Oreochromis niloticus: one gene and its partners. The protein of the gene in region 4 interacts with the protein of the main gene of each other region in a pairwise test. Links are inferred from orthologs where the notes say so. Each region holds a gene or a part of one and is shown on either strand. Other genes may lie near its edges.

Region 1 (6,970 bases), on a different chromosome or scaffold from region 4:
GATGACACACAGCAAGCGTTGCTATGAACACACAAGTGGAGTGTGGTGATGTCTAAGATTTGTCAACAATACACGTCTCTGAGGAGAGTCACTCAGCGGATGCTGATCTTCAATCAAGAGCAGGACAGGAAGTTGTATGGTAAATGGACTGGTTGTTATAAAGTGCTTTTCTATTCTATTTGAGCACTCAAAGGACTTTATACAGTGATGCTTGTGATGTTTATGATGTAGTAGAGAGCAAGTTCACAAAAACAGTTCAATATTTGTCAAAAAATGTCCAATATTCATAATTTTTCAAAATTTAATGCAACATATTTATGTGGGCAACAGACAAAACATTGTGCAAGTTACCAGGAAAGTATTTGTTTTCTTTTTACTCAGTAAGTATAAGCCTTTACAGACCAAGTGTGTTACGAATATTCAACATGAGATTCTGTGTTTAAATTCTGAATGTGAATTTGTCGTGTAATATATAAACACACACCAAGAAACTGATGTATAATCTTTCTATTCACCAAATTATCTTATACATGATCTACTTCTCTGACACACGTTTGCCTTGTAAAATTGAATAAAACTAAATAATTTTTAAAAAGTCCAGGTTGATTCACAATAAAGACAGCAACTTAATGATGTATACATATTTCATATAACCATGACGTAAAACCCATTTTATATATATGAAATTTTTCTGACTTAGTAGTAGGTGCACAACTAAGCATAAACTGGGCATTAATGTTATCTTTTTCTTTCCCTGTTTAATACAAACGTTATAAATAAATTACAATATAATAACTGGTCTTATTTCATTTGATTATTACTCTTTGGGAGGAAATTCTAAATTTTAATGATACATCTATAAATATACCAGTTAATCATTCAAAACCAGTGACTGTACTTATGCAGTGTATAACATTCAGTAACTGTTGTCTGCTTTATATTAACGTTAAACTCTTACAAAAGAGGAAATACTGTAAAGACTAAAAATCAGTCAGGATGACTGAAATCTAACTGATGGAATTACAAAATGCGCCATGAACCCAAATAAGCAGAACTCAAACAATATTAAACAACCTCTCTGATAACAATATGTTTTTCATATAATAAGTAGTATATAACCTTACACCGTTTAAAAAGGCAAAAAGACATAAAAATTTGCTAGAATATTCCAACAAGAGATTGGCCGCTGTCGTCATCGTACAGAGCATAACGCAAGGCGTACAATTTGCCACACGGGGCACACCGGTTGGTCGGAGCTTACGCCTTGAAGACAAGTACCACTACTTAAAAACGACAGGTGGCAAACACCGCCCGGTCGTGTTTTAACCGGCGAAGCCACACCAATTCTCGAGACTGTCATTACCGTTAATAAAACTATGAGCTCAGCTAACTTGCTTAGCTCGCCGGAGCTTCATAATCGGTCTTTGAAGGTGGTGTGCGCCTTATGAGTTAATTTCTAGATGGTTCCATGTTCACCATAGACAGGCTGAGAAATGTGTCACTAACTTACACGGAAAAGCAGTTCAATTTCCCAGCAATGAGCACAAATGATCGCTGAAAGCAGAGAAGCTGCGTTCACGTGTATTACAGCGATGCCGGTGAGACAACACTTATAAATGAAAACCTGTCCTCTGTAGCTATCCTTCACAAACTATAATAAGATTTTACTTGGTACTTACGGTGTACATCTGTCGCTGTACTCATTGGCGATTGTCTCGATTCCTCCAGCTCGGGCTACAGCTACATAGCAGCTTTGGAAGCCCAAGTCAAATCCCACCACTGACATCTTCAGCGATATGTGTCTCCTAGGTTTAGCTTTGTATACAGTATGATTTCTGTAAAGAAAATAAACCTGTAACTAGATTTTAAAACATAAAAAAGATGCTCCAGTCAAGTGAAGTTGTTAAGCTGCTCTGTCTTAAATACTTCTACTCATAATCCACACCGCTGATTGTTGCCGGTGTCTCTGATGTGTGCTGGCAGGCTGCAGCGGCAAGGTCTGCTTTACTAACGTCTCGCCCGCAGACATCGCGAGATTTACATGGTTCTAGAGCTCTCTGGACTTTTCCATATCCACGTGAAAGACTGTTCTCCAACAGTCGAGGTGTAGGGAGAAAACTCCATAAATTTCTTCTTATTTAATAAAAAAAATAACCTCTAAGTTTAAGGTTTACCGTGACAGTAACTGAAATCAACAAATGACTAGCTTGATGATTTCTGGGATCGAATCAGGGTGGGGAAACAAAAATAGACTGTGATGCAAAAAGTGATGAAGTCATTTTTTGTCCCCTTTTGTTTTTTTGTTTTTATTTCATTAGAAATAAAAAATGTAAATGGCCCAGCTCAGAACGAAGTCGTCGGGAAAATAAGAAAATATAATAACATTAAACAAATTAATTATAAATAACTAAAGCATAGCCATTTTAAAAGTTGTTGTTACTGAAAAAGATTCGTTTTTAAATACGTTCTCCTTTAATACTTAGTAAATTTCATGATATAAAATTACCAATCATTATAAATAATTAGTATAAAATAGTAGCTGACATAACACTTTTTTTGGTTTGGTTTGCAAAAACAAAATGTCATTTATTTAAGAATCTATGAAACAGAAAAGAGAGCTGATGACATGTAAACGCAGCTCTGACAAATCGTAAATGTGGGTGGGTGTGATGACACTTGACTGCTGAAAGTGTGCACTGTGTTGGTGACAGATAACTGAATGCTTAACCTCAGTAACTGTTTCCACAGAAAGTGGAAATAAGAAGCTGGGGAGAACTATGATAAACAGAATGTTTATATCCCATTATATGCTGATTGTAAACGTAACATTATTATGTGAGGCACATTTTTTCCTTTAATGTAGTATAAATGAATCACATGTATCACAGTACTGCACTAAAGTCTCATTTATTTATATTTTGTTTGAAACATAGGAAATCGATGCACCAAGATATTGAAAGATGTTCAAACCAAATGAAAATACAAGAAAAAACTGAGTTTGTGAGTTTGTACACATATTTGGATAATGCTTTTGCTGTATTGGCAGTGCGTTTGGTATCACTGTCATGCTTTCCAGACTATATTGCGTGGAGGATCAAACTCTGACTGTGCTTTTCTGCAGTCATAATTTATCAGTTTTAACAAGATCTCCAACACCATGAGATTTACATGATGGTGGAGATTCATGTCTGCGTTTTGTTTTACAGATTCTGCAGACACTCACAGTTGTACCTCTCTCCTGACCTCTTCTGCACAAACTGATGACGATTCAACTCATAAATTTCAAATTACTCTGATTTTCAGACCACTTTTTTTTTTCTAATTTAGCATACCTCAGGCTGTTTCCCATTCTTAAGAATGGCTTCTTGACACTCACTGAGACCATTTCGTCAAACAGTAGATGGATTACGAGAAGGGCCAGTGTCAGGTCTTTACTGGATTTTGTCCTGTTTCTTAAGGATGACTTTGAGATACTTCTCATCTGCAGAAGAGAGCTTTTTTTGTAATTGTCGATTACAATTTAACAATATACAATTTGAAATTGTGTGTTTAATTGTCTGATCTGTGTGGGCACCATACTCATTTATCCCTTAGATGGCTTTTTTATGCTTGAATAGGTCAGAGTTAAGTGTATTAAACAAAAACAAAACATTCCTCAGGAAATGGTTACATACAAAGACTGGACTGAAACAGGGAAAATAACAGTGAATGTCCAAAGGAAAACTTTGACAGAATTCAGGAAGCATGCAGAACTATTGCTCAAGACCACTTACAATAATGTCCTGTTTCTTAGAAGCAAAATATCAAGAATGATGAGGAGTTGCTCAAGAGTTTTGCACAGTATTATTAAAAAAAAAAAAAAAAAAAAAAAAAAAAAAAAAAAAAAAAAAAACCACTAGCCAAAACGTCAGGGCTGCTGTTAATTAAATTTTAATGATTATAAATACATGCAGTAGACCATCCTTACCCATAGGAGGCGATAACGGAGTTGATTGGACCGGAAATACGCGCTGATTTAACGCCAACAAAGAAGAAAAAGTAACCTGCAACATGGCGACTCCCATGCATAGATTAATAGCCAGGAGGCAAGCGTGAGTATGATACTATTAATCGACTGTATCGCTGTGGGTTTTGTATATTCGTGAGTACTACAGGCTGTTGAACAGCAGTGAGGTTCAGCTGCTCGAGCTCTGTGTCAGACTCAGGGGCCGGTGAACAGTGAGCGCAGCTCCAGTGCGCCAGTCTGTGCTCTACATCATTATTAGCTTGTTTATTCTTGTAGAGGGTGCCTGTTCAAGGCTGGTTGAGGCCGTGAATGCCACTGTTGTCACACTATCTGTTTCAGGAACGACAAATGAAATGTCGGGTGTCTGTCACGTTTCTGCGCTCACTTGTTTATAAAAGTCAGGCGGATTTTTGAGTCTGCCGCATTTTAGTGTCTGTGAGGAAATATTGAAAATATTTTTGCATTGAATTGCAACACAGGAATCTCCCGCTGATGCTCGTTTTTTCTCCTTTTCCCAGCCATTTATCACTGGTCTCGAGTTTGCACCTGAACTTATTCTGATACGTGAAAATGATTTCATCTCTTCTTGAGCAAGTAGAACTGCAGGGTGGTGCTTCTTTTCATTACCGTTTTTCTTTAATGAGCATTTAAATTCATAAGAATAGGAGGTCAGCCCATCTTCATATACTCTGCATATTTACTCACTGTAGAACAAGCACCTTTAAAGCACTGCTGAAGTTAAAACTTCCAACTTCTTCAGCAACTACAAAGCTGTACTTTTGTAAAGTTCATGAACATTTACAGTTGTGGTCATGGAAATTTGGGGCTTTTAATGATTTCTTTGATCTGTTCTTTCTCTAGGGTGGGATTACTGTACAGCGTACATCTTTAATGACGTTAAAAGAAAGCAAGAACAGGTTTAAATTTATTTTGGATTTTCTCTAATCCACATGGCATCAAAAGTGTATATATACAGGCTTAAATATCGCATACACCTCCACTAATATTTGGTTAAATGTTCTTTAGCAAGTTGCACCTCAACCAGATTCATTTGGTAGCCATCAACAAGCTACTGTCAGATTTTTGGCTGGATATTTGAGGACTCTACTTTGCAGAATTGTAAGAGTATATTTAAATTGGTTGGTTTCCTAGCACTGACCTGGTTTTTAATTTTCAATAGGGTTGTGGTCAGGGCCTTGGGAAGGCCATTCCAGAAGCTTGGACCCCCCCCCCCCCCCATTTAAAAAAACAAAGTTTTAATGTTTGCTCAGGATCATTATCCATTTGGAACATCTAATTGTGTCCAACTTCCAAATGTTTAGCTGTTGATTTGAGGGGAAGTTGAAGAATTTGGAAGTAGTCCTCCACTTTCATTATTCCATCAACTTTGTGCAATGTACAGGTAGCGCTTGCACGAAAACAGCCAGAGAGCAGGATGCTACCACCACCATGCTTGTTCTTAGGTTTAACAACCTCACCTTTACTCCTCCAAACATACATCTTGTGGTTGTGGCCAAATAGCACCAATTTTTTGTCTCGTTAGACCATAAAACCTTTCTCCAGAAGCCATTTGACTTGTCCATGTGGGAAGCAGCATATTTCAGTTGAGCTTGAAAGTGTTGATTTTGGAGCAGAGGCTTGATCAGCACCCTCTCAGTCTATGGCAATGTAAAACTAGCTTCACTGTGGACCGTGATGCTGATGTTCCAGCAGTTTCCAGTTCATCATCGGGATCGAGCGTTGGTGGTTCCTCAGTTGTTCCTGGGTGACACATTTGAATAAAATTTCTCCAATACAACTTCCCAGTTTGTGTAAAACTGGAATTCTCCTTCTTACTGTGGATCTTCAGTAAGTTCCTTGGGCTTTCCCAGTTCAATCCAGTAGGGCTGCACGATTTTGCATAAAATGAGAATCACGATTTTTTTTTTGCCTAGAATTGAGATCACGATTCTCTCACGATTTTCTTTTCCAATATAAATATTTATTGCACTTATTAACTGCACATCAACTTCGTAACAGTTGAAACTGAACATAAAAACAATAAATAAAAATAAAAACAATAAATGCCTCACATTTTGTGGTTGCCGCAAAATGTTGTACTGCTTGAAATTCTGTCTCCACCGTTGCTCGACACCGCGTGTATAGAGCAGGTAGTGCAACAATAGAAAAATAGTTGTGGGACGGCACTGTGTAGCGTTTGTCTAGGGTGTTGATCATTTTCCTAAATCCCTCGTTTTGCACAGTGTTGATATATCTTTGGTCAGGTGATAAGTAATAGCCTCCGTAATTTCTTTGAGCCTGCGGGAGTTCGACGTGTATAGGGAAGCGCTGTATAAGGTTCCCGTTATTGATGTTTGGGTGGTTGACCGGCACAAATTTTCTCCTGTTACTTTCTCGTCATCCCTGACGTGTTCTCCGTTGTTTTTTCCCTGCCAATTTGAGCATCACTGCACAGCTTCTGTATCACGTGGTATAAGGCTCCGCCCATGTCATTTGTTGAGCAGGAAGGGTGAGCGCTTGTTTTCATGCAGATTACGTCCTGGATCAAAATGCGGTACAATCGTCGTCCTTTTTTTTTTTTTTTTTTTTTTTTTTTTTTTAAATCGTTGTCATTTGGAAATGAGATCGCACATAAGTATGAATCGAGATCGCGATTTTCTAACGATTAATCGTGCAGCCCTACAATCCAGTGAGTGCTGTAAGCCAAATCCTTTTTATGCTGGCAAAGAGAAACTACCACTTGCAGTCAGTCATGATCACTAATGATAAGTTAATAGGCTTTGACCTTTCATGTTAAAAGACATTGTGAAACCTTCAATGCCACTTATTAAAATATTTAAGGGAGTGTATGTATATTATTTAAGCATGTATGCATACATTTGACACTTTGTGGGGATAGAGGGGAGAAAAAAAAGGAATCCAAGAAAGTCATTAAAAGTCCAAACTTACCATGACATTAACACC
Region 2 (7,386 bases), on a different chromosome or scaffold from region 4:
CTTAAAAGTCTGCTTTTACTTGCAGTTAAATATTTTTCAGCGATGAAAAAGATGCCACATAACAATGATCGAAACATATTAAGAGACACCCTCGTAGGATTAGTTTTTTAAAGAGAGACAGATCTGTTAGAGAACTCTTCAAATCATTCCCATCTGTCTAAAACGGCTCTGACAAAGATGATTTAAAATGTAAAGAGCTGGCGCTCAGCTCTGTAACCCCTCCCCTTCTCTAAAAGGACAGAGAAAAGAATGATACAAACAGAAGGGGGGGAAAAACTCAAATCCAACTCATTTTTTACTGTATGAAAGTTTCACAAGGTCGTTGGGAGAGTCATGTTAACACAATACCTGAATACAGATTTGTTTCCTTGTTCTACAAGTCACGGAGACCCGAGTCTTTAAGCGATCATTATTACCATACAAATAGACAGATCTATTTAACAACCCCCTTTTTATCGCATAACACTTATTCTTTAGTGTTGCTCCCTGAAAGGCACTGAAATGTGTCTCTCCCCCCACTTACTCTTCCCCTCTTTCTTTTTTTCTTTCTTTTTTTTTTTTCCCCGGGAAATCGTCTCCGGGTTGATAAAGGCTCAGAGCAATAGAAGAAGCAAGGCTGACATCTTCTTAAGAGTTGATAGGAGAGCCAAATCAAATAGGATGGAGCAGTCACTCTTTTCACAGATAGGTAGCTCATTTCTGGTGGCTGAGAGTTTGCATCCCTAGTGGCGCTCTGCCTGGGAAAGATAGCTCGCTCGGACTCCATTCATTATTTCATTCCCTGTCTCCTCTTTTCACATCTTAGCTACTTCTTTTTTCTTCTTTTTTTTTTTTGCTTTAATGAGTTGCCTATTTTTCTCAAGTGTTGATGGCGATCTTGGAATTTAGATTTGGAGACAAAGTGTTTAATCACAAGCGTTTTTCATTTGCCAAGAAGAGGCAAAAAAAAAAAAAATCAATTATTTCTATTAGACAATGCTGATTGAAAATGAATGGAAGTGGTAACATTTTGAAACAAAGGCTCCACGGAGACAAAGATAAGTGTCAGTCTGCTACCCCTGAGGTGTGATGTGTGGTTTGGCTTAATAAGCAGTTTGCAAAACATTTGCTATTAAATCTTTGCAGAGGGTTGATACAAACACAGAGCAGTTTATTAATAATAACAGCTCATAATTCTGTACTTTTAGTGTCACATTGTTCCTCGCAGAGTCAAAGTTGGGGTCCAGATGTAGCAAACTTCTGTTTTTTTTTGTTTTCATGAACGCGTGCGTTGACGCATTAAAGATGTAACTTCATCAGAGGAAATTGCAGGAACTTTCCCCGTCCCCTTATTTATTCCAACACTTACTGAATGAAGCCTCCAAACTCCATATGATATTCACTTTGGCACTTTGTGAAGAGCACTTTGCTATCGCATCCCTCACATTCTCTGCAAATCCCTTAGAAAATTATTTATAAAAATTAACTTCTCTTGCAGAGAGCTCATTCAAAAGAAGAATTACACAACAGATAAAACACTTTATCGCCAGTGAAAGACTAGACAATGTACGTCGAGAAATTGGGAAGAAGGCAGAAACAATGAATATTAAGTGCCTAAGAATCCAAAGCTGCTGACTAAATTGAAACAGTATATCCTGAGGGGGCAAGGTTTCCAAATTGCTAATTACTGCCTCTGAAAGGGGGCTGTTTCTGATATGTTTGCTTGTGAAAGGCTGCCACTTAATGAAGCAGTGGCTAAAGTTTTTTTTTCCTTTCTTTCTTTTTTAATATTCCCACACTCCAGCTTTCAGGGCTCTCTCCGGACTTTCCTCCCAGGCCAGAACAATGGCGGGCCCAGGAGCCCAGCTTCCCCACAGGCCCAATGAGAGGAGGCCGGGGGCTGGGTACTGAGGGAGCCGCTCAGCATGCTGAAATATGGAGGCGACAGATAAGGTGGCAGCGGCACAGAGAGGCCCTCTCCCATGGGCCCAAGGGGAAATTTGCAGTTATTAAGAGGAAGATGAGAGCGATTAAATGGCTTTTGTACTCATTTTCACTGACTTTTCTTTTTTATTATTTGGGCTGCATTCATCTGATAGATGAAAGAAATGGTAAATTACTTTTTTTCTGCTTCATTCAGCAACAACACTAGCATTGAGAAAACATCATTACAGTGAGCTTCAATCATAAAACACTTATTAGTCCACTATTGTTTTAAAAAGTGTGGCAGCAACAGAATTACTGTAATCTGACATCTGGAACTACAGTAATTACAAATTTAACATGGTTTGGGATTTTGGTTTGAAGAAATTGGACAAAATGTAACATTGATACATGCACAGCATATGCATGTTTCTATGTATGCAATCATTTTATGGATGAACACAGCTGGGAGCGGCTATAGAAGCTTGTGCAATTCCACAACAGCCATGCAGCAAATAGAAAGCTCTTTGATTTTTCTTTTATTCAAGCTGTGTGACAGATCATTTCCCACTGAACAGCTATATGACATACTGCCCTGCAATACACTGTGAGGTCTAACAGTGCAATCCAACACAACAGTGTCTTAAAAAGAGAATGAGTAAATTGCATACTCACAACACAGTGCAAACCTGTTACTAATAATACCTGAAGCCTTCACATAGTGTTAGATATGCTTGAGAAAAGAGCAGAACAGTGGTGCAGTGTCACCTAACAGCAAGGAGATTCCTGGTTTGAACCTCTTCGTCAGCTGGGGCCTTTCTGCCTTGAGCGCCCCCACTTACCCACTCACCAGTGCAAACCTAAGCTGGGCAAGCAGTTAAGAAAATGGATGGATGCTTTAAAAAGTCTCCTTCAGGCATTTTTTAGGAGGATTTTTCACCTTTCGAGATGAAAAAATAGGAAGAAAAATGGTTTTCTCCCGGTTTACTATTGGATCCAATATTTCTCCTCATTCAAAGTCAGCTCTCACCGTTGGTGTATTTGCATTGCTGACTTCAGATTTAGGTAACACACTAATGAAGTTGACTTTGGTTAATGCTAATATTATACAGTGCTGTGCAAAAGTCATGAGCCATCCCTTGTGTCTTTATTTTGGGAAATGGGTGAAGAGATTCATTGAAAAATGTGTAAGCATAAATGGAAATACAGTATATAAGGCAAAAACACAGTTTGAACAATTCTATTAAACTTGAAAGTCACTATGTGGTATGACCACCTTTATTATTCAGTATAGTCTGAACTCTCTTAGGCAGCTTTCTTGTAATTTCTTTAGGTAGTCTTCAGGAATAGTTCTCCAGGCTTCTTGAAGGACATTCAAAGCTCTTCTTTGGATGTTGGCTGTCTTTTGTTCTGTCCTTGATCCCACACTGCTTCAATAATGTTAAGGTCCAGTCTCTGTGGAGGCCAATCCATGACTGATGGTGTTGTAATTCTGTGTTTTTCTATCCACGTATGCTTTTACTGCATTGGAAGTGTGTTTGGAATCACTGTCATACTGCAAAATGAAGCTGTTCCCAATCAGGGCCAGATGCATCTCTCAGGTCCTGTGTCATGTCTCTCCTGGATTTGTCTCTGTTTCTTAACAATGTACCTATTAAATACTATCAGACTATCAGATGTGGTACAATGACTGGATTGGTAACAAGTTAAAAATCAGCCAATGTCCAAAGAAAAACTTTGACAGAACTTCTGAAAGCTTGAAGAACAAATGTTTAAGACCACTTCAAAAATGACAAGAAAGTCTGGCTACTTGCAAGGAAACTACATAGAAATAAGGGTATCTTAAGACTTTTGCACTATATATCCAACTCACGGGTGCACAATTTTAAGTTTCATTTTAGATCAGCATAGAAAAACAGTGCATTAGCAGTGTTTAGCAGAGAAAACAATCCATAGTTTCTAAAACCTCTGAATTCTACACAGTGGAAGCAAAGGTATCCAGCTAAAGTTACCAAATCCCATCAAAACAGGAGTGGAGTATGTTTGTGTGAGACAGCCTGCTAACACTGAGAGGTGGTCTGATGTTAACATAGAGCTATTTCTTTAAATATATACAAAACATACAAGATGCAGTTTTACATTTAGTCTATGAAAAACACACATGATCTAAACTGAATGGGACTTTCTCAGGTACTTCACTAACTAAATAAGCATAAGCTCATTCTAATTGTCCCTTGTGACCGTCAGCATGCAGTCCCCCTACAGTCCTCCTTTCCTACCACCACAACTTTTTGTAAACCCTGATGGAAGAAAACTTGCACATTTTCAAAGTCAGATTTGACTGACATTATCTTCCACACCAGCACTCCGTCGGTTTCCTGAAGTGATGCCATAATGATCAGACGCTGGTGTTATCTGCCTTGCAGGCTGTATTTCGACAGCACTGTGCAGTGGCGCACTGTTTTTTTGTTTTTTTTGTTTGGAGGAGTCACAGCGAGGCGGAGCCACCCGATTGGCTGGACTGCAGGGCGGAAGTGCGTCTGGTGTCCCAGCTGTGCTGAAAACAAAACAAGACAAGCTGCGACTGGTGAGTGCTCGAAACGCAGAGGGATGTCTTCTCCCTGGCGTTAAATAGCATCCGAATAGATCCGCGCGCACCGTGTCCGTGAGGCGGCTGTTGTGTTGAGCGCGTGTAAACCGCTTGTTTTGTTGTCAGCAGTGGACACAGAGATGTGTGGCTGTCCTTGTGCTGAGCTCACGTGTGAGCTGTTGTTATGTAACACAGGCTGAGCTGAGCGTGCGGATACTACAGCCAGCCTGAGCTGTTGTTGTGCTGCACTGATGTTGCACAGCTACACGGTCGCTTTTCTTTACTGCTAATAAAACGTGATGTCAATCGTTTTTCTTTTCTTTTAAGCCGATGATGACCTGCAAATGCTCGTAAATGCAGCGCTTTCTACACCGCTGCAATCAAACACGGAGCAATTCCGGTGATGAGCCCACCACGAATTTATGTTGCTAGACTTAAAGGGGGGGGAAATCAACCTAGTGATGTTTTATAGCGCTAAAGCTATTGTAGATTTACTTTGTGATTGTTGCGAGGAGGTGGTGTTTTTCTTTGTTTGTTTGTTTTTTGTCCCATGTCTTTAAAAATGGGATTATGACTGCCACTTGGCTACTTGGGTCTACTGAAATGGACCTCAGTCATCATGGCTGAGATGGTTGGGAAGGTATAGTTCATAATGCTGCTGATACACAAACAGGTAACAAATTACAAGAAACACGTGTAACTGCATTATTAAGTCCCTCCGGAGCAGTTTCACTTTGCAACTCATTCTCCAAATGAAGCCACAAACCATCCTTTCAATAGATACTTCCATATTAGGCAATTAATGATGCTCTTGCGACTGTGCGGGGTTTAGCACATTATTTATGTCTTCCTCAAACCATAAGAGAACCCGCCCATAAAGAAAGAAAGCAACTTTGTATTGATTTGCAGAGGGACAGGTGGACCCCAGCTGTCCTAGCAGAATGCCCGCTGCAGCACTAATGATTGCATAATTATAAGAGTAGAAATATATGAAATTAAAAGGGAACAATGGCATGTCGTTTAGTGGCAAGTCCAGCAAAGTAACAACCTGCAAATACACTATTTCCATTAGACTTTCTCAATGAATGGTTTGACTTGTTGTTTTCTTTACACCTTGAATATTCACACTCACTGGCCACTTTATTAGGAACATCTTGGTAGTACTGGACTGGACACCCTTTTGTTTTCAAAACTGCCTTCATTTTTCATGGCACAGGTTCACCAAGGTGTTGGAAATATTCCTCAAAAACTTTGGTGCATTTTGACATGACAGAATCAGGCAGATGCTGTAGATTTTGTGTTGTGAATCTCCTGTTCCAGCACATCTTAAAGGCGCTCTAGCGGATTAAGATCCGGGTGCAGTGAAGTCATTGTCATGTTCAAGAAACCTGTTTGAGATGATTTGAGCTTTGGGACGTGGCGCATATCCTGCTGGAAGTCGCCATTAGAGGGTGGGTAGACTGGTGGGTCAGAAAGGGATGGATGTGTTCAGCAACAATACCCAGGTGTGCTGTGGTGTTTAAACAATACTGAGCTGCTGAGGTGTGCCAAGAAAATCCTCTGCACCTGTACACCACCAGCAGCGGTCTAAATGTTTGATTTGATTTCAAATGTTGCAGGAAAAATGGGGAATCATGAGACCAGATAACATTTTTCAAATTTTCTACTTTTCAGTTTTGGTGATCTTGTATGAACTGTAGTCTTGGTATCCTGTTCTTAGCTAACAGCAGTGTCATCCAGTGTGGTTTCTGCAGATTCATTCAGGGATGCTCTTCTACATATCTTGGTTGTAATGAGTAGTTATTTAAAGTTTCTGTTGCTTTTTTATCAGCTCAAAGTCAGTCTACCCATTCTCCTCTGGCATCATAACCCATTCTGGCACCCATAACCCATTGTGAGAAAATCCCAGTACATCAGCACTTTCTGAAATACTGGGACCAGTCCCATTTGATGCTCAGTTTAAACTTCAGCAGGAATACATCTACATGCCTAAATGCACTGAACTGTTGCTGTGTGATTGGCTGATTAGATATTTGCATTAACAAGAGGTTTAACATGTGTGCCTAATAAACTGGCCAGCGAGTGAAGATGGTGATAATCATTTAGAAAAGCCCACATTGTGGGTATATTTTCAAAAAATGAGAGTGACTTCAGGAGGAGCACATCAAAGTACATTGGACGTTTCTATTGTTTCATATAAACCTCTAGCCTGCACTTAACAACTGCAATTTAACATGACAAGACATCCAAAGAGTTTAACTGGTCACTAACATTTTCTTTTTTTCCCAGCACCATGATGGATGAGCTGGTGCAGGACCTGGTGTCTGCACTGGAGCAGACCTCAGAACAGAATAAGCTTGGAGAGCTGTGGGAGGAAATGGTCCTGAGTCCTCTGGAGCAACGCCGTCAGATCCGCCGTCGCAGAGGCCGTAAGCGTTTTCGCGAGTCCACCCTCTACCCGATAGAGCACAGGCGATGCTGGATCGAGGCATCCGAGTCCAGCTTGGACGAGGCTAAAGAATACAGGGAGAACATCACTACTTCTGTGGCCAACTGCAGTGACTCTGACGATATGACCGCATCCACCCGATGGCCGTCCCTCATGAGAGGCTCAGTCAGGGCGAGGCAGTCCTCCTGGCCAGAGTCCGACTCCTTCAATGAGAATAACCCCGGACGTCCACTCAGGAGGCGGAGGAAAGTTAAACGCATGACCTCAAATGTAACCGTCAGACTGCAGTCCACTTTAAAAGGTTCTGGTTTGGATAGGAAACAGAGGAATAGGCCTTCTAAGGTGCGGCATCTGTCAGGATCAAAGAAGCGGTCTGGTGGTTGGATGGGAGCAGACAGAAAGACTGAAAGAGCCAGACTGATGGGAAAGGAGTGCTGGGAGAGAA
Region 3 (7,453 bases), on a different chromosome or scaffold from region 4:
GCTGCCTGCATGCTTGCCGGTCCTCCTGCACGGCTTTGCGCATTATGTCACCGCAGAAAATCCCGTCCCGCCGCCTGCGTGCGAACGCATCTACCTCTGAGAGCCCATGTATGTTGCCGGAGCTGCGCTACAAGAAGCACAGATACCACACCTCCAGATCTCGACAAAACGGCTCAAAGCATCTCCAGATACTGTCAGCTGCATCCTTTCTCTCTCGTGCACACACGCACACATACACACACAGATAGATACATACACACACACAGCAGCAGCATTCCTCTCACCTTTTCAAAACCCCGAACACATTCGCGCACATTTTCACGGATGTCTGTTTCCATCAGCCAAATGCTGGGCGGCTCGTGCAGGAAAGAGGCATCCAAAGGGATAAAGCCGAAATCCGGAAGATCTCGATTCTCCTGCGGTCAGCTTCAGTATCCAGCGACTGACTGTGACTGACTGACTGCGGTCGGGCTGCTGTCGCCCCTCCCACAGCCTCTACCACCAGATTTCTTCCTCCGCTGCCCTTTAAAACAACTTAATTTAAAAATAAATATGCTACCAAGGACTCATGAAACGCTTAAATGGAAACAGCCATTACAAAAACCGGTTTACAGCAGACACTCCTCTGTGAATACCATTGTTAGTGTGTTAAGCTAGCTACTGATGATCACCTGACACAGCCACACCTCAGCCAAATAACTCTGGCTTTTCAGTGTGAATACATCAACACCGCCACCTCTCTTTAACAGTTTCGCTCTTACCTGCATAGCCAGCGTACAGCCATCGGAACTGTTGCGGAAAAGTGCGCACCTCCTGTGACTAAAGCTAAACATTAGCCTACCTAGCTACCTTCGAGTACTTACTTTACAGTTCGTGAGGATATGAACTAACACGGAGTTTGTGTTTCCTTGCTAATATTAAAGAGACGCCATTACATCAGTGTTTTATTGATGTTAACAAATAAGAAATACAAGTCGATGTTTAGTTATCGCACGACACGTATATACAAATGTAAAATAAATCGCATAATCGTGTTAATATTCGGATGAACAGCTTTATTATTTTTAACCTTGTGCAAATTTTGGTCGGCCAACAATAGGCGCGCTTCATTTGGTCGTGACTCCGTGTCGTTTACCGGTGCTAAGATAAACCCTGGCTTTGCTACTGTTTAACTTTTACTTTAGTCTATTTAACTTAGTTAACAAAAAAGATTGACGAGCATTATTTATTATGTAGTAAAAAAAAATCTAACAATCTAGCATCTCCAACAATTCAATAACCGAACGGAATAGGCATTCAGATACTTTGTGAGAGCAAAAGTACTAATACCGAAACCTATACAGATAATCCATGTGGTGTTCAAGTTTAATTAGACAATAATGATATTTATCAAGCTACGTTTAGCCCTGCTCAACTTCGTCTGCTCCAAGCAGGACCCAGGCAAACCTCCTCCTCCTCCTCAGCCTGTTATCCTCAGCTCAGCTCCCCTCTACACCTGACTCTGCTGTAAAAATGCAACATTTACCACTGAAATATAATTATTAGAAGAAATATAGTCTATAAATACAGTATTAGAAATATAGCATTAGAAGTAGTAAACAACAAAATAATAATAATAACAATAACAATAATAATAACAATAAAAATACATAGGAAGGGCTGCAGCTAAGGAAAAATAAATAGAGTGGGGATTTTGGCTCCATGGTGACTGGATTTATATATTCCTAACATCTAATTTGGTTGACATCTGTTTGTTTTTTTTCTTTTAATCCTACAGCCAGTTTTTTTCATTTCGTTTATTTTTTAATGAGGAAACAAATGTGACTTAAGCTTAAATAAATAAACAAATAGACAACATAGACATATATTTATTCCCCACATTTGTGTTTATGCTCTTTCTGTAGTCTTACATTTAAAGAATATCCTTAACTGACAAGAAACCTTTCGACCCTTCATTGCGAAATGTTTTCTGTTGTCGTTTTTAAGTGAATCCGGGATTTACCGGTGAGATTGCCGAGCGCATCCATGCGCCTTGTTGGGCTCACGTGACCAAATGGCAGCCAGCGCACACAGAAGGGCACGAGCTTAGTGAAAGTTTGGTTGTGTCCTCGAGCTCAGTCCTGTGCTGTTTAATGGTTTTTAGCGTGATTTGTTTTATTTAAGTCGCCGTTTTTAGTCGGTTACTAAAAATGGCCGCCAGGACAGCTGCAGCTGCGAGACGGTCGATATGGAGGAGCTTCTGTCCTTTCAGTCTCCGCTTATCTGCAGGTAGCAGTCGGCTGTGCAGCTCCAAACAGGCAACCCAGAAGGACAAGCCAGTAAAGGTTTGTATAATGACAATTTATTACATTTATACACGGTTTAAAGGGCTGCCATTTGATAGCTATAGACGGCTGTTGTTGTTGTTGACGATCACGTGTGGCGCCATTTTTTTATGCCCACATTAAAGACGTGTGTACGAAATAAGCTGATTTTTTTTTTTAAACGTTGCAGGAAATAAAGTGTTGTTCACAAAAATATATTGCAGTGCTTTAGACATTATTAGGGTTAAATCGGTGTTACGTCTGTTTTAATGATACAGTTGTAGTATAAATATTTGTAGGAAAATAATGGAGAACAATTTAAAATATTATGGTTTAAAGTTATATTTTAAGACCTAAAGTTTCCAGCAATACATCTTCTTAGATTTCATTTTTTAACCGTTTCAAAATTACATGCATTTGTTGGAGTTTGTGACTGCAGACGTTTAATAATAACTGTTTAATAATATAGTATTTCTTTAAAAATGTAAATACATCTACTTTACATATAAACGTGCATTGATATGCCTGTCAGTAATCAGACTGAATTTGCTGACACAATGTTTTGCATTTGGATTGTTTTACCTCTGTTTTCGTCTCTTAGCCCTGGAGCGTTTTTTATTCCTCGCTGCTCTTTCCGTCTTGAAGTCTGCTGGGTAATGATAAGCTGTCTGGTGTAGGTCACTTTTCATTTAAAGCCACGTGATGTGCATCTGCTGTGTGGAGTTTCAGTCTTTAGCAGACTGTCTTTAAACTTGACTTCCAGATGATAGCTGCCCGGTGCATTTCTCATCAGTGCGGATGTGGCTGCGTTGGTGATGCTAACTTTGCATGTGGAATTCAAACTACATGGTATTTGTGTCTGATGAGCTCATCGCTGTCATATGGGGTTTGCATAGGTGAAATTTGGGACATCTTCAGCCTTCTGACTGTTGTCACCTGCAATTCCACGCTCAACTTTTGTGTTAACACCCTGTATCTTTCCCACTAAGTTATTTTTGTGCGGACACTGTGCTGTCTGAACCCATCATTACAGTAGTTTCTTCTTCTTCTTTTACATAGAGATCTACATATAGACCAGAACCCAGCTCCACACATGACTGGGTCGGTCCACCAAACCCGCTCTCCAACCTACGGCCAATTATTTACCACATCCCGGACAATGAAACAGAGCTGGAGAAACGACTGAGAAACCTGAGGCAGGAGACAGAGGACTGGAACCACAACTTCTGGGCCAAGCAGAACATCACCTTCAGCAAGGTTACTGAAATACTTTTTACAAAGTGTTTTTCTGGGGTCAGGGACTGGCCTCTGAAAGCTAGTTTATCTATCAGAAGTCTCATTTGTAGGTGGGGTGAAAAGCCAGTCCATGTGGAGAGTAAGGTGGGTATTGTCTAAAAATAGGGAGCACAGTGTAGAGAGAGAGAGAAGCATGCATAGTGCTGCTTTTAACTCTTGAGATGGAAACTGACAAAGATACAGTGGGGAAATTAATTCGATCCCCTGCTTTATTTATACGTTTTCTCACGTTTTATGGTAGCTTCATTTTATGGAGACAGAATATCCCCAAATCCCAAAAACAAAACACTCAAGCTTTACCCTTGAGTTGCCAAGCTGCAGTTTCTGTAAAGAGGAGTGAGTCGACATCCCTCCTGAGATGTCGATATTTTCATAGAAAAATAGAAAGTTGTGGTAAAATTGGTTCTTTTAAGTCATCTGAGCACCTGACATGCAGTTTGGAAGAGAATAAAACTCATTTAAGGCTAGTTAGATCATCAGTTAAGACTTTGCTGGCTGTTCTGCCCTTCTGAAAATAAGCTGAAAGGTGGTGGGTGGTGTAAAGCAGGCATAGAAGCGGTTGTTGGTTCATTGTGGGGCAGGTGATTTCAGAGTATGAATAAGAGTGGGAAGTTGATGTGCTCCAAGAAAACCTTTAGCTACAGAGGAAGTGGAGTCTTTAGTCTTTGTAGAGAAACTGAAGGTTACTCCTAAATTAAATTCCTAAATTGCACATGAGGGATGAAGTGAAAGTGTGCATCCAGAAGAATTTGTTTGTGATGTTGTCCTGAGAATATCAAGATGATGTCTTCCAATTTATTACAGTTTAATATTTATTTATGATGATTCACATTGTCCTGCTACTGCTGCTATTTATTTCATATGCAGGTATGCCGTACTGCCGCTTAAAATCCAATTAAGCAAACTGATATTAGAAGAAAATTCATCTGTAGCTGTTACAAAACAAAACCGGGTGAGCGATCCCTGTCGGCTTGTTAGTTCACTTTTCTTAAAAATAAAATGGAAATTAAATTAAACACAAGATAAAGTCCACTAACTGCATTATCTTCCCTGCCAGCTTCCTACTTGCATTAGCATCATGCTGTCATTTCCATCATTATTAATGGAGACTGTAATAGCAGTGGATGTAATTAATCTCTGCGTGCTGAGCTCGTACGTGTGTAAAATCATTTCACCAGTAGAGGGGAGCATTGTACAACTAATGTGTTCTGTTAGGGCCCAGCTATGTAAGAGATTACAGTGAGGAAACAGTGAGGAAAACTGTAGGTTTTATGTGGACCCCAGTCCAAATCTGATTTAACGACCCTTTAATTAATTTTAAGAATGACCTCATTTAAAATTACAGTTAAAGCTTAAAAGGTTTGTTTGTTGTTTGTTTTTTTTACACTGTCTGCAGGAAAAAGAAGCTTTTATCATTTCACAACTGAAGGCAAAAGGCTTGACTCTGCGTGATGAGGACGGTGAGGACATGCAGCCTTTTCTGAATATTTCACATTGTTGGTTGGGTTTGCACTTAGGCAGTTTTTAACCAGCTCAGATGGGTGTACTATGAAGCAAGATTACTGGGTGAGTGATGTAAGTCGACCTTGATGTAAGTGAAGGTGGCTCCTTTATACCTGGCTAGATCACCATGGTAACTTATGCTGAACACATAACCTGGTTTGTACCAGTTTATTTTTAGAGTTTCGATTTAAAGTTTTCACAAATTCTTTTAGTTACAGTGTCTTGTAAACACAATATTGATTCTCTGCTGGATGAATACATATATTTGCAGTCTGTAGAGCTTAAGACTGCAGTTTATCATTAGATTTATTTGATTTTTATCACCAAGAAAACTTATTTGGACAATAAATGATTTTCACTCTGATCTTGTGAGAAACGAAAGTAATTCCCACGTCTCCTTTGTTAGGCTGTGTAGGCTGTGGGTGACTTGTCAGAGCTGAACACAGCGAGAGCACCGATGTGTGGCTCTGACATCAGAGATAAACATTGAAGCTAAGCTCTCAGCTCTTGTGATGATCAAATCACTAAATTAACAATTTTCTGCAGCATTACTCGTACTTTCAGCACCAGGGTTGCATTTTACTGCATTTATTTAACATTCTTAATAGATCTCTATCCCCCATTCATGTGATAATGTCTCTGATTGGGGTAGGTGGTGCTCAGCTGATCCATTCTGTGCTGTCTGAAGTGTCAAAAAACACATCAAACAGCCCTTTTTATGTGAGCACAGAAAGCCGGGGTTACCAGAGAGAGTTAATAACCACTGTTGTGATGCCTGCTATCTCTGACTGAGGTTTTTTGGTCAAGTCAGCCAACACAAAGAAACCCTGGCTTTGTCGAACTTGCTTCGTAGCCTGCTCCTCAGGAGGCACAGTAAACAGCAGTTTGTTTTTCTAACAGCTGGTGAATTGCAGGGGAGATGTATCCTAATGAGAATATAACACAGTCTGCTGTGTCTTCCCTCAGGACGACGGCGGTCCCTGAGCAGCGAAGAGATGGCCACGTTTTACAAAAACTTCCTGGACAAAAACAGAGTACGACATGCAAATTACAACAAGTGAGTTGTTTTGTCTCCCATGATGCCGCTGGGTGGGTAAGTGAGTGGGTGGGTGGGTGGGTGGTTGGGTTGGTACATGTCCCTCTGCAGCAGCTGTGAGCTTTAACTGCACTGTATCACCTCATCTGCAAAGAACAACAAACCTCACAGGCTATGAAGAAGTTTTGTGTGAATTAGCAATGCAAAGTGGCTGACTTGTCTTCATGTTGGCAAAGCTTTCCGCCCACACACATCACCTCAGTAGCATGCGTGGGATTTAATCTCTAACTTTTGATTGTTATATTTATTATTGTTTCAATTTAAACTCCGTCAAAGCACAAATGTTTCCCTTTTCTCCCTTCTGGTGTTATTGTGCATTTCCCTGTTTGAATCTTTATATCAGCACATTTATTACACTGTGCAAAGTGAAACATTCTGTTTTTTGTGTATCCAGGGAATGGTACAGACGTAACTTTACCATCACCTTGCTCATGGCTCGAGTCACCCTAAACAGTATGTGGAGGACAGTTACGGAAAGACAGAGCAGCAAGAAAAACGGCACTCCTACCAGCTGATAGCAAAGAAAATACACACACCCCCACCCTCCTGTCAAAATATCAAATGCCTTGGCTATATTTTTGTGCACTTCTGTTACTGCTTCATGTTTATTCAGGCTCTGCAAATGACTGTAAATTATTCTGGAAAAAATAAAACAAAGCAAAACATGTGAGGTATTTCTTTTTAATTAATTAATTAATAGTTTTCATCTTTTTTTAATAGTTAAAAGTGTGGATTGTTATGTCACGGTCTCTTTGGTCAAGAGGGTTTTTGGTTTTTTCTTGGGGCGGGGATTATAGATACATTATAAAGCAGATTTAACTGTTACGCCCAGTTTGTGTCAAAACAAAGACAACCTGTGATAACCAGTGAGATCGGTGCTGACCACCTACAATAAATACAAGAAATTAAAGTTTAAGAACTTTGTCAAAAACATATTAAAACTAATTATTTCATTTTTTAAATCAAGCAAAGAACAAACTGAAATCATGTTTAACTGGGGATTCTAAAAGGCCCATAGGCGTGAATGTGAGTGTAAATGGTTATCTGTCTCTGTATAAGACCTGGGACAGACAAGCTACCCATCCAGGATGTACCCCGCCTTTCGCCCTATGATAGCTGGGAAAGGCTCCAGCCTCCTGCAACCCCTAAACAGAAGATGGATGGATAGTTATTTTCCAGATTAATCATTTGGTGTAAATATTTTTTGAGAGCTGGAATGTAAATTTGTCTGTCTCTAAAGCACTTTGAGTTAACT
Region 4 (7,504 bases):
AAGGAAGCACAAAGAGCCAAAGAAGCTGCTCGTATGGCTTCAGTTTATTGCAAATCAACAGTAACAAGCAGTGTTTTTGCATCTCAAGAAAACACTGAAAAATGTAAAGCTTTTGCAGCAAATGTACTTTAATCAGCCTTTAAGTAAAAAACAAAACTCTGAAAACAAAACAGAGAAGCTTAAGTGAGTTCATTTCATACTGTCAAATTTTATTTCCATATTAAACAGCAGACTGTTTAATGGGGATCTATCCTGCACATTTCCAGCATCGTGTTTTTAATTCATAAACTCTCAGAGCAGCTTTGCATGAGTCACAGTTCAAAATAATCTCTCTTTTTTTGATACCGGGTTTTCAGTTCATCCTGTCTGAAACGAGGCGTTTTAGCCTCTCTGAGTTTGAGCAGTCTTTCTTTCTGATTAGCTGGGTATTGGCTTCTGTGCCCAACATGACCATAGCAGGATATCATCTATGACACCATACAAATCAAAGAGTAGAAAAAAAGTGTTTATTTTCCTGATGAATTTGTCAATTTTTTCTCATAAATTTACCATTTCTTACTCTTATAAATTTGTTATTTCTTCTCAGGTTTACCAGCTTTTTTTCTCTTTAATTTGCAAAACTCAAAGCCTAAAGGCTCAGATCGATTCTTCTAACGATCTACCTCAGATGCCTCCGAACATCATGGTTCATAACGGCCTCGGCTCTCACCTTTGAGCTTCGACACCGTGGGCTCTTCAGATGAAAACTGCTCAGTTGTGGCTGCAGACCCAGCTCTCCTCACTGGGATGATCCTCCTAGAGAAATTCAGCTCAGTGTAAAACAGAAGCTGTTGTTTGCTCCGGCAGGGCACAACGAAATCAGTCAAGAAAATCCAGAGATGACGATCACACCTCAGCTTATGTGGTAACACCTCGTATATGTGACAGAACATAAAAAGCAGGAAGAACAGTTCTCTTTAAAGGAATAGTTCAACAGTTTTCTTTTTTTATTTTTTTGGGAGAGGGGGCATAACTGTGCTTTGTTTTCCTCACAGTGACAAGAACCATCAGTCTGTGTGCGTCAAGTATGAAGAGCTGTTGGCTCTTGAAACCAAACCGAAAGCTTTAAGAAGTCATTTAAGTGCAGCCCGAGCTCTAGAAAACAAAACGAAAAATAGAAAGATATGTGAATATTTGCGTCCTTCAGCTCAGCAGCAGATGAAACTTCTCCACTCCGCCTCACTCGATGCCTTTCAAACTGTGGTAGATGTGTTTCGGCAAAATCACGTATCCCTCACTGAAGCCCGGCTCCGGCGCCGACTGACGGGGCATCCTGGGTGATGCCTCCCGGGCGGCCTTCAGCCTCTTGAGCTGCCTCTCCTGCCGCCGACACTTCTGCTGCGTCGTCTTCAGCTTCTTCCTCAGATGTTCCACCTGCTCCTCCAGCAGCTCAATGCGCCTCTTCTGCTGCGCAGAGTCCTCTACCGTGTAGTTGTGGTCGCAGGAGACCGCCGTCGTCGTTGTGGTCGTTGTCATCGTGTCGCTGCAGGTGTCGAGCGGGTTACTCTCAGGCTCCTCCTCCTCCGCTGGTTCAGAGGTCAGAGGCAGAGAAAGCGGGAAGAGGTTCTCAGAGGGGAAGGGATCCTCCAGGGACTCTGACTGCTAGAGAGAAAAACACGAGTTAACTAGTCGCTAACTGACTGAAGCTGAAGTTAACCTGATCTACTTATCTAGCTTAGTTAACCTATCTGCTTAATTTGAGCTGTCTCTCAGATCTGTGCTCTTATTTTGAAATAAAGAAAACGTGACTGGAAACTCTTGGGAGACTCCTGGAAAAAAAAAGCCCTGCCTTAGTCAGGTCACCTTGATGCTGAGGTTGAAGGTGAACAGCGACGGCACAGCGCTCTCCTTCAGCACACGGTTGTTGCACTCCCTCTTGAAGGAGTCTTCGGTGAAGTGCTGGGAGCAGATGTTGCTGTACTTTGTTGGCTTGAAGTTGTTTCTCCTCATCGCAGCCACCCATTTACAGCAGATATCTGGACGCGCCAGAGGAAACCTGGTAAACAAGTGATAATAATACACAGAAGTAAATGTCATAACGGTTCTGTATGATTTGGGAATTATTTTCTGTTATCAGTTTTAATGTAATTAATTAGTTTAAGTTGCTTATGAAGTAAACTTTATGTCTTTGGTAAAAAATAAAACTAAAACAAACAAAACAAAAAAACCTGGAGCGTTAACCCTTTGTGTTACTTGTTTTGAGACTAAAGTTGGGGACTAAAGAAATGCGCATCAACTCCCGCCAGTAAGCATAAACACATTAATCCAAACTCCAGTTAAATTTGGAGGAATTTACTGTCCCCTTATTTACGGAAAGGCAAACATATTTAAGAATGTAACTCCAAGACTTTATAAGTAAATGTGTTCCGTGCTGATAGATTCGGCTTGTTAAAAAGCGAAACAGCTGTAAAGTTTTAGTAATATCTAAATTTGTGTGCCTCGGTATAGCCACTATAGAGAAACTTGTGACTTTAGACTTGATCAAAACATTTGATTTAATCAAATAAAAATAGCATCTGTTTACTTTTATGTAGCCGGATTTTAGCAGTGAAACCTGGAAACACGTAAAATGTCCCGTGTCCTACTCCACATGTTTCGTACTGTTGAGGAAGAGCAGTTAATCTTTAATGAGGCAGATTAGTGAACGCAGGCTGGTGGACGTTGCTCAACCACCATGTCAGGACTGCTAATGCTACCCAGCTCGCTGACACACACACAGACACACTGGCACTTAACTTACTTGTGGAATGAAATGTCTTTGTCTTTGTGGTAGCGGTTCTTACAGCCGTACGCTGAGCACGTCTGAACCATGGCTGAATATCCGGACAACACTCACTCACAGCCGGACCAGAACTCCACGAAGCTCCGCTTGTGCTTCTTGTCACCCTCCACACAAGCTTCACTGCCACTAACAATGATGGCGGCGAAGAATTAGTCACCTGACCGGCATCCCCGCCTCTAATTGGTGGAGCTTTCTGTCGTTACTTTCTTGTAATATCTCAGGAAGTCCAGTCTGTTATTTTTTTTTTTACGAGCCTTAATTTAAATACCAAATGTAAAATTTCAATCAAATCAAGTCTATTTTATTTAACTAACACATTTTGAAATAAAAGCTGACACAAAGTGCTAATCTCAATTATTTTCTGTTGAGTATAGAGTAAATGTGAAGGACTATAAAACATTAGAAAAGCACAATTTAAATACATTTTACCAAATTAAATATCAATTTTGTATTATAATTTTTCATTATTATTTTAACTGCTGTAACAAAAGAATTTCACAAATACAGGATAATGCATTTGTCCTCTTTCATTTATTATTCCAGAAATTACCATAAGACGTAATGTTTTATTTCATAGCTCAGCCCTGTAGATTCATGCATAATGTGTTAGATAAATAAAGACTTTCAACACATAATCTCTTAGTCAAAAAAGAAGAAACTTTATTATTAAAACAGGTGTTTTCAACACCGTGGGTTGGTCTAAAGAGCTTTATACAGCAACAAAAGACCAGGAATACACAGAAAACAGGTAAATACACAGCACTGATAAGTACCTATAATGTGTGTGTATTATCACTACACTGTATATCATACTGTGTCCTTATCTTGAAAGAAAAAAAGAGTCACAAGGCTCTCAAACAGTCTGTGGGTTCAACTTTAGCAGCTGGAAACTCAACTTAAAAACATTCAGAGTTTCTCACCAACTTTGACAGAGGCTGCTGAGGTTCAGAAACATGATGTGTTTTTTCCTATTATTACGACTGCACGTGAATGCACCTTTACAAACAGGAGAAGCGAGGATTTAAGAAGAAGGATGGAAAGAGAAATTTCTCATCATTTGTCCATTTTTGTTTTAGCACATGCCTGTGGCCTATTAGAAGACTTTACAAAGGAAGAAATAAATAGAAAAATACAAAATAGTTTTGGGATAATTCACCCACATTTCTATGTACAGGAAACCCCCACCAAAAAAAAGGAACCAGGTGGGATCATTTGATTTTTGCAAACAAAATTTACTGATGGAGAAATGTCCACAATCTCAGATCAAACATGGGCAAAAATCACACAAATTTTACTTTATTTTACACAGTTAGACTCTTATTTTGATAGTTCTGTCCATACTTCCTGTCAGTTGTATGAAATTCACTGCCACAGTCATCACGTTTCTTTAAACAATGCACAATCATATCAACAGGTCACCGGAGTGATCCAGTAGCTGTTGGATGACGGGTTAAAATCCTGGACAAGGACCATGTGCTATCTGTCAAAAAGCCCAAACAAGCCTTCTTTAAACAAGGAAACTAAAAATTAAAGGTCACGACTTTTCAACTGTCAGCTCTAAGAGAAATTGTAAGAAAAGAAAGGGGAAAAAAGTATTTTACACAACTTTTTTAATGCACCCCTACCATCATAAGGTGACGCCAAAAGCCTGTTTGATGACTATGACTAAGCACATTTTACTAATTACTTAGTGTTGAATTGTATGGCAAAAAGCTACCATAAAGTTGAGTGTAGCAGTCTTAAAATAGTAAATAAACACCAACAAGTGACCACCGCGAGGTACGGGCAACATGTCATCACAACCAGTCTTGGTCATTTGTTTGGTTTTAAACAGCTGCCACTGAATATCGCATAATACTTCTGATTTAAATGCAGTAAGTTCTGCCAAACTGATAATTGGCAGTTTTGCACACAAACATGATGATAAGCCCAATTGATTTCTGCATCAGAGGATGTATGTGAGATTTATCAAAGAATTCCAGATGTACCAGAAAGTAGCATAAGAACAACCTCATTGACTTCTTAAACCACAATGAGCTCATATATTTGGGCCTTTTAAACACTGGTAATCTAACAAAAACAGAGTGCCAACTTAAACATTCATGATGACACACCAAGTGATGACCCCTGGTAACTCCAGGAAGCCAGTGCTTAAATACCAAAACTGCAGTTCCTCTAATGTCCACTTGAGGATCCAAAAGCAAGTCAGTCTCCCCCAGACTCTCATGTTAAATGTCCAATTTTACAGCAGAAATAAACATGTTTTGCAGCCTGATACAAGAAAACCGTTTCACTCTGTCAAGTTTTTTCAACCTTCATAACAACTGCGCAACCATCACCTTGGCTAATTGGAGCTTTTTTAATGCAGACTTGAGTGGTTAAAAAAAGGGCAACGGGGACTTCTTTAGGTTTCTTTAGACTTTTCATTTTTCATCCAGGAGGCTTTTCCAGTTCAAATTATGAGAAATGGCGTGTGTCATTACCGTCACTGAGGCCAAAAGGTGGCACCTGTCTAAGACAAGTACTGTCAACTACTTTATTTTTAAGCACTCAAGACTACCATGACCTGCACAACTGATACAGGCATTTTTAATGCAGTTACTGACAAATAATTTGGTTTTCTCTGTGATTTATTATGGACAACCACTATACTGCAAGTGTACCAGGAAGTAAGTATAAGGATAGCAACAACGTATTATTATGTCAGCAAAGTGAACTTGCAGGAAAATCTTTCGAAAATCTTGTGTCATTCAACATTCAAAGGTATTTAGCTGACGGTGTAATAACAGAAACATAGAGACGGCTGGAGAGAACAGACGGACAAAACTATCAAAATATGTAAATATTTTTTCAAAAATAAAGCAACAGATTAAAAAGCTGCTGTACAAGAAAAAAAAAATCAATCGGTCTGCGAGGCCTTCACACTTAGAAAAGATCGTCAAACAATGAAACTCAACCTCAGCAAAAAAGAGTGAAAGAAAAAGAAGGAAAGTGCAACAGAAAGTCAGAGTGCTGTCGGTTACTGAATGTCTCTAAATACTCCAATACCCAGAATCCTCCGGGGTCGTGAAATCAGAGTTTTTAGCATATTCACAACACTGCCATCAAGAATTCACTAAAGACTCACAGCAGTGTCTTCTGGGAGATGCAGTCGGCTTCTGAAAGATCACACGCAGTCAGAATGCAACGATTACACTCAGTGATGTGATGTGGAAGCCCCGCCCACTAAGCGGCTCTTCCCTTTTGCAGGAAGGAAAGCAGCTTCTGTGCTCCACATCCAGGAAAGCTTTCGCTCTGGTTTTAGCTTCACCAGCTGATCTGCTGCCACAAATTTCATCAAGCTGAACTCAAGAACTGCTTACTGGCTTTTTGTTGGACTTGCAGGCAGAGCTGTGACTAAAACAACAGGAAATGAGCACATTTTTGTATTTTTTAAGGCTAAAGTAGCAAAACATCTGCCGGTTCAAATATGCAAAATATAACCCAGATGTGTGGCCCACATCTGCCTGTGACTCAGTGGCTGCCCAGGTCCACCATACATGTGCCAGCTGCCAGCTGTGTTGATGACCTCTGGGCCATATGTGGTGATTGCCAAATGCCAGAACTGAGCAACCAGAGGGCCAAACGTGGGCCAGAAAAAAGCTGATTTTTTTTTAGTTAAGAGAGAAAAAAAAAAAAAAAAAAAAAAAATCACATCTTATAAGAAAGCTAATTTCATGCGAGCAAAGTTAATATTGAATATGTACGTTGTTTTTTTTGTTGTTTTTTTTAAATCACGCGTTGCACACACCTCACAGCCAGCTGCATGTAGTGGCCTGTGTTTTACTGCAGGACTCGTTCTAATGAAAATAAGCTCATAATTTGTTATCTGATTGAAAATAAGTGCTGTTTTCTAAAAACACGTATTATGTGTTAATGATGTTTTTATTGTAAATTTGTCATATTTTTTCATGAAGTTCAAAATTTACAACTTTAAGTTTAAAACTTTTTTTTCCTGAATTTTACATCACACAACTAGGGCCTTTCATTTTTTTTCTTTCAATGGCCCGAATACAAACAAAATAAACTTTTCCACAGACAATTCAACACTTGCTCCTTTCACTGGTGGGCTGTGAGTTTCAGATGGACAGCTGCAGGAAGGCTGTGGCTACCACTCCCAGACAAAACCTGTTAGTGTTACAACAACGAACCAAAAAAAGCTAATAAATTATAATAAAGATGTTGCTCTGATCGTAAGTCACTCTGATAGTGCAGGCCACCTGGTTGAATCCATCTTAACCATTATATGGTTTTGCTTGTGATGTCATACAGGGCAGCAGTGCTTGGAGCCTCCAGCTGTTGGCGGATTAACATTGAAACATCTGCAGCATGTAAATAAAACTGAGCGCTCAGCAGATCAGCAAATGTTTATATTTTCAATCTGAAGCAAAAAAGTACCTCACATTGGGGTCAGAGACGCTGTCCACCTCCTCTTTTCTTCTTTTTGTTGCTTGTTACAAGTGTTCGTTGTCACAGCAACAACACATATAACCATTAGTCCTGTACAGATAAACAGCTGTACGTCATTTTGAAATGCGATTATGTCTCTCAGGCTTACTTCTCCTCCTCCTTCTTCTCTTCTTCCTCCTCCTTCTCTTTTCCTCCTTTGTCTCCCTCTGCTGCTTCTTTCTTTCTGTCCTCTTC

The links.
Region 1: the proteins of thap1 (region 4) and zcchc10 interact in binary tests that used the Homo sapiens proteins (3 or more experiments, as listed by UniProt). The two-hybrid records come from large-scale screens. The link is inferred for Oreochromis niloticus from reciprocal best matches to the Homo sapiens genes THAP1 and ZCCHC10.
Region 2: the proteins of thap1 (region 4) and G patch domain-containing protein 2-like interact in binary tests that used the Homo sapiens proteins (3 or more experiments, as listed by UniProt). The two-hybrid records come from large-scale screens. The link is inferred for Oreochromis niloticus from reciprocal best matches to the Homo sapiens genes THAP1 and GPATCH2L.
Region 3: the proteins of thap1 (region 4) and bag5 interact in binary tests that used the Homo sapiens proteins (3 or more experiments, as listed by UniProt). The two-hybrid records come from large-scale screens. The link is inferred for Oreochromis niloticus from reciprocal best matches to the Homo sapiens genes THAP1 and BAG5.

The regions. Positions count from the first base shown.
Region 1 is NC_031975.2:20,408,630-20,415,599, forward strand, and holds the start of zcchc10 (zinc finger CCHC domain-containing protein 10), read left to right. Parts: upstream 1-3,956; 5' UTR 3,957-4,050; coding exon 4,051-4,091; intron 4,092-6,970. Other genes in the region: hspa4a (heat shock 70 kDa protein 4a), read right to left, coding at 1,680-1,786.
Region 2 is NC_031983.2:10,367,202-10,374,587, reverse strand, and holds the start of G patch domain-containing protein 2-like, read left to right. Parts: upstream 1-4,370; 5' UTR 4,371-4,489; intron 4,490-6,781; 5' UTR 6,782-6,785; coding exon 6,786-7,386.
Region 3 is NC_031983.2:6,396,776-6,404,228, reverse strand, and holds the start of bag5 (BAG family molecular chaperone regulator 5), read right to left. Parts: upstream 3,008-7,453; 5' UTR 2,993-3,007; coding exon 2,886-2,992; intron 2,325-2,885; coding exon of another isoform or gene 2,190-2,324; exon of another isoform or gene 1,986-2,189; intron 1,536-1,985; exon of another isoform or gene 785-1,535; coding exon of another isoform or gene 762-784; intron 535-761; exon of another isoform or gene 317-534; coding exon of another isoform or gene 285-316; intron 1-284. Other genes in the region: coa8 (cytochrome c oxidase assembly factor 8), read left to right, coding at 2,190-2,324, 3,363-3,560, 4,996-5,059, 6,069-6,159, 6,593-6,713. UniProt on the Homo sapiens protein: Co-chaperone for HSP/HSP70 proteins. It functions as a nucleotide-exchange factor promoting the release of ADP from HSP70, thereby activating HSP70-mediated protein refolding.
Region 4 is NC_031972.2:34,363,343-34,370,846, reverse strand, and holds thap1 (THAP domain-containing protein 1), read right to left. Parts: upstream 3,025-7,504; 5' UTR 2,851-3,024; coding exon 2,780-2,850; intron 2,036-2,779; coding exon 1,843-2,035; coding exon of another isoform or gene 1,829-1,842; intron 1,642-1,828; coding exon 1,223-1,641; intron 1,135-1,222; coding exon 1,113-1,134; 3' UTR 189-1,112; downstream 1-188. Other genes in the region: uncharacterized protein LOC102080580, read right to left, coding at 7,415-7,504. UniProt on the Homo sapiens protein: DNA-binding transcription regulator that regulates endothelial cell proliferation and G1/S cell-cycle progression.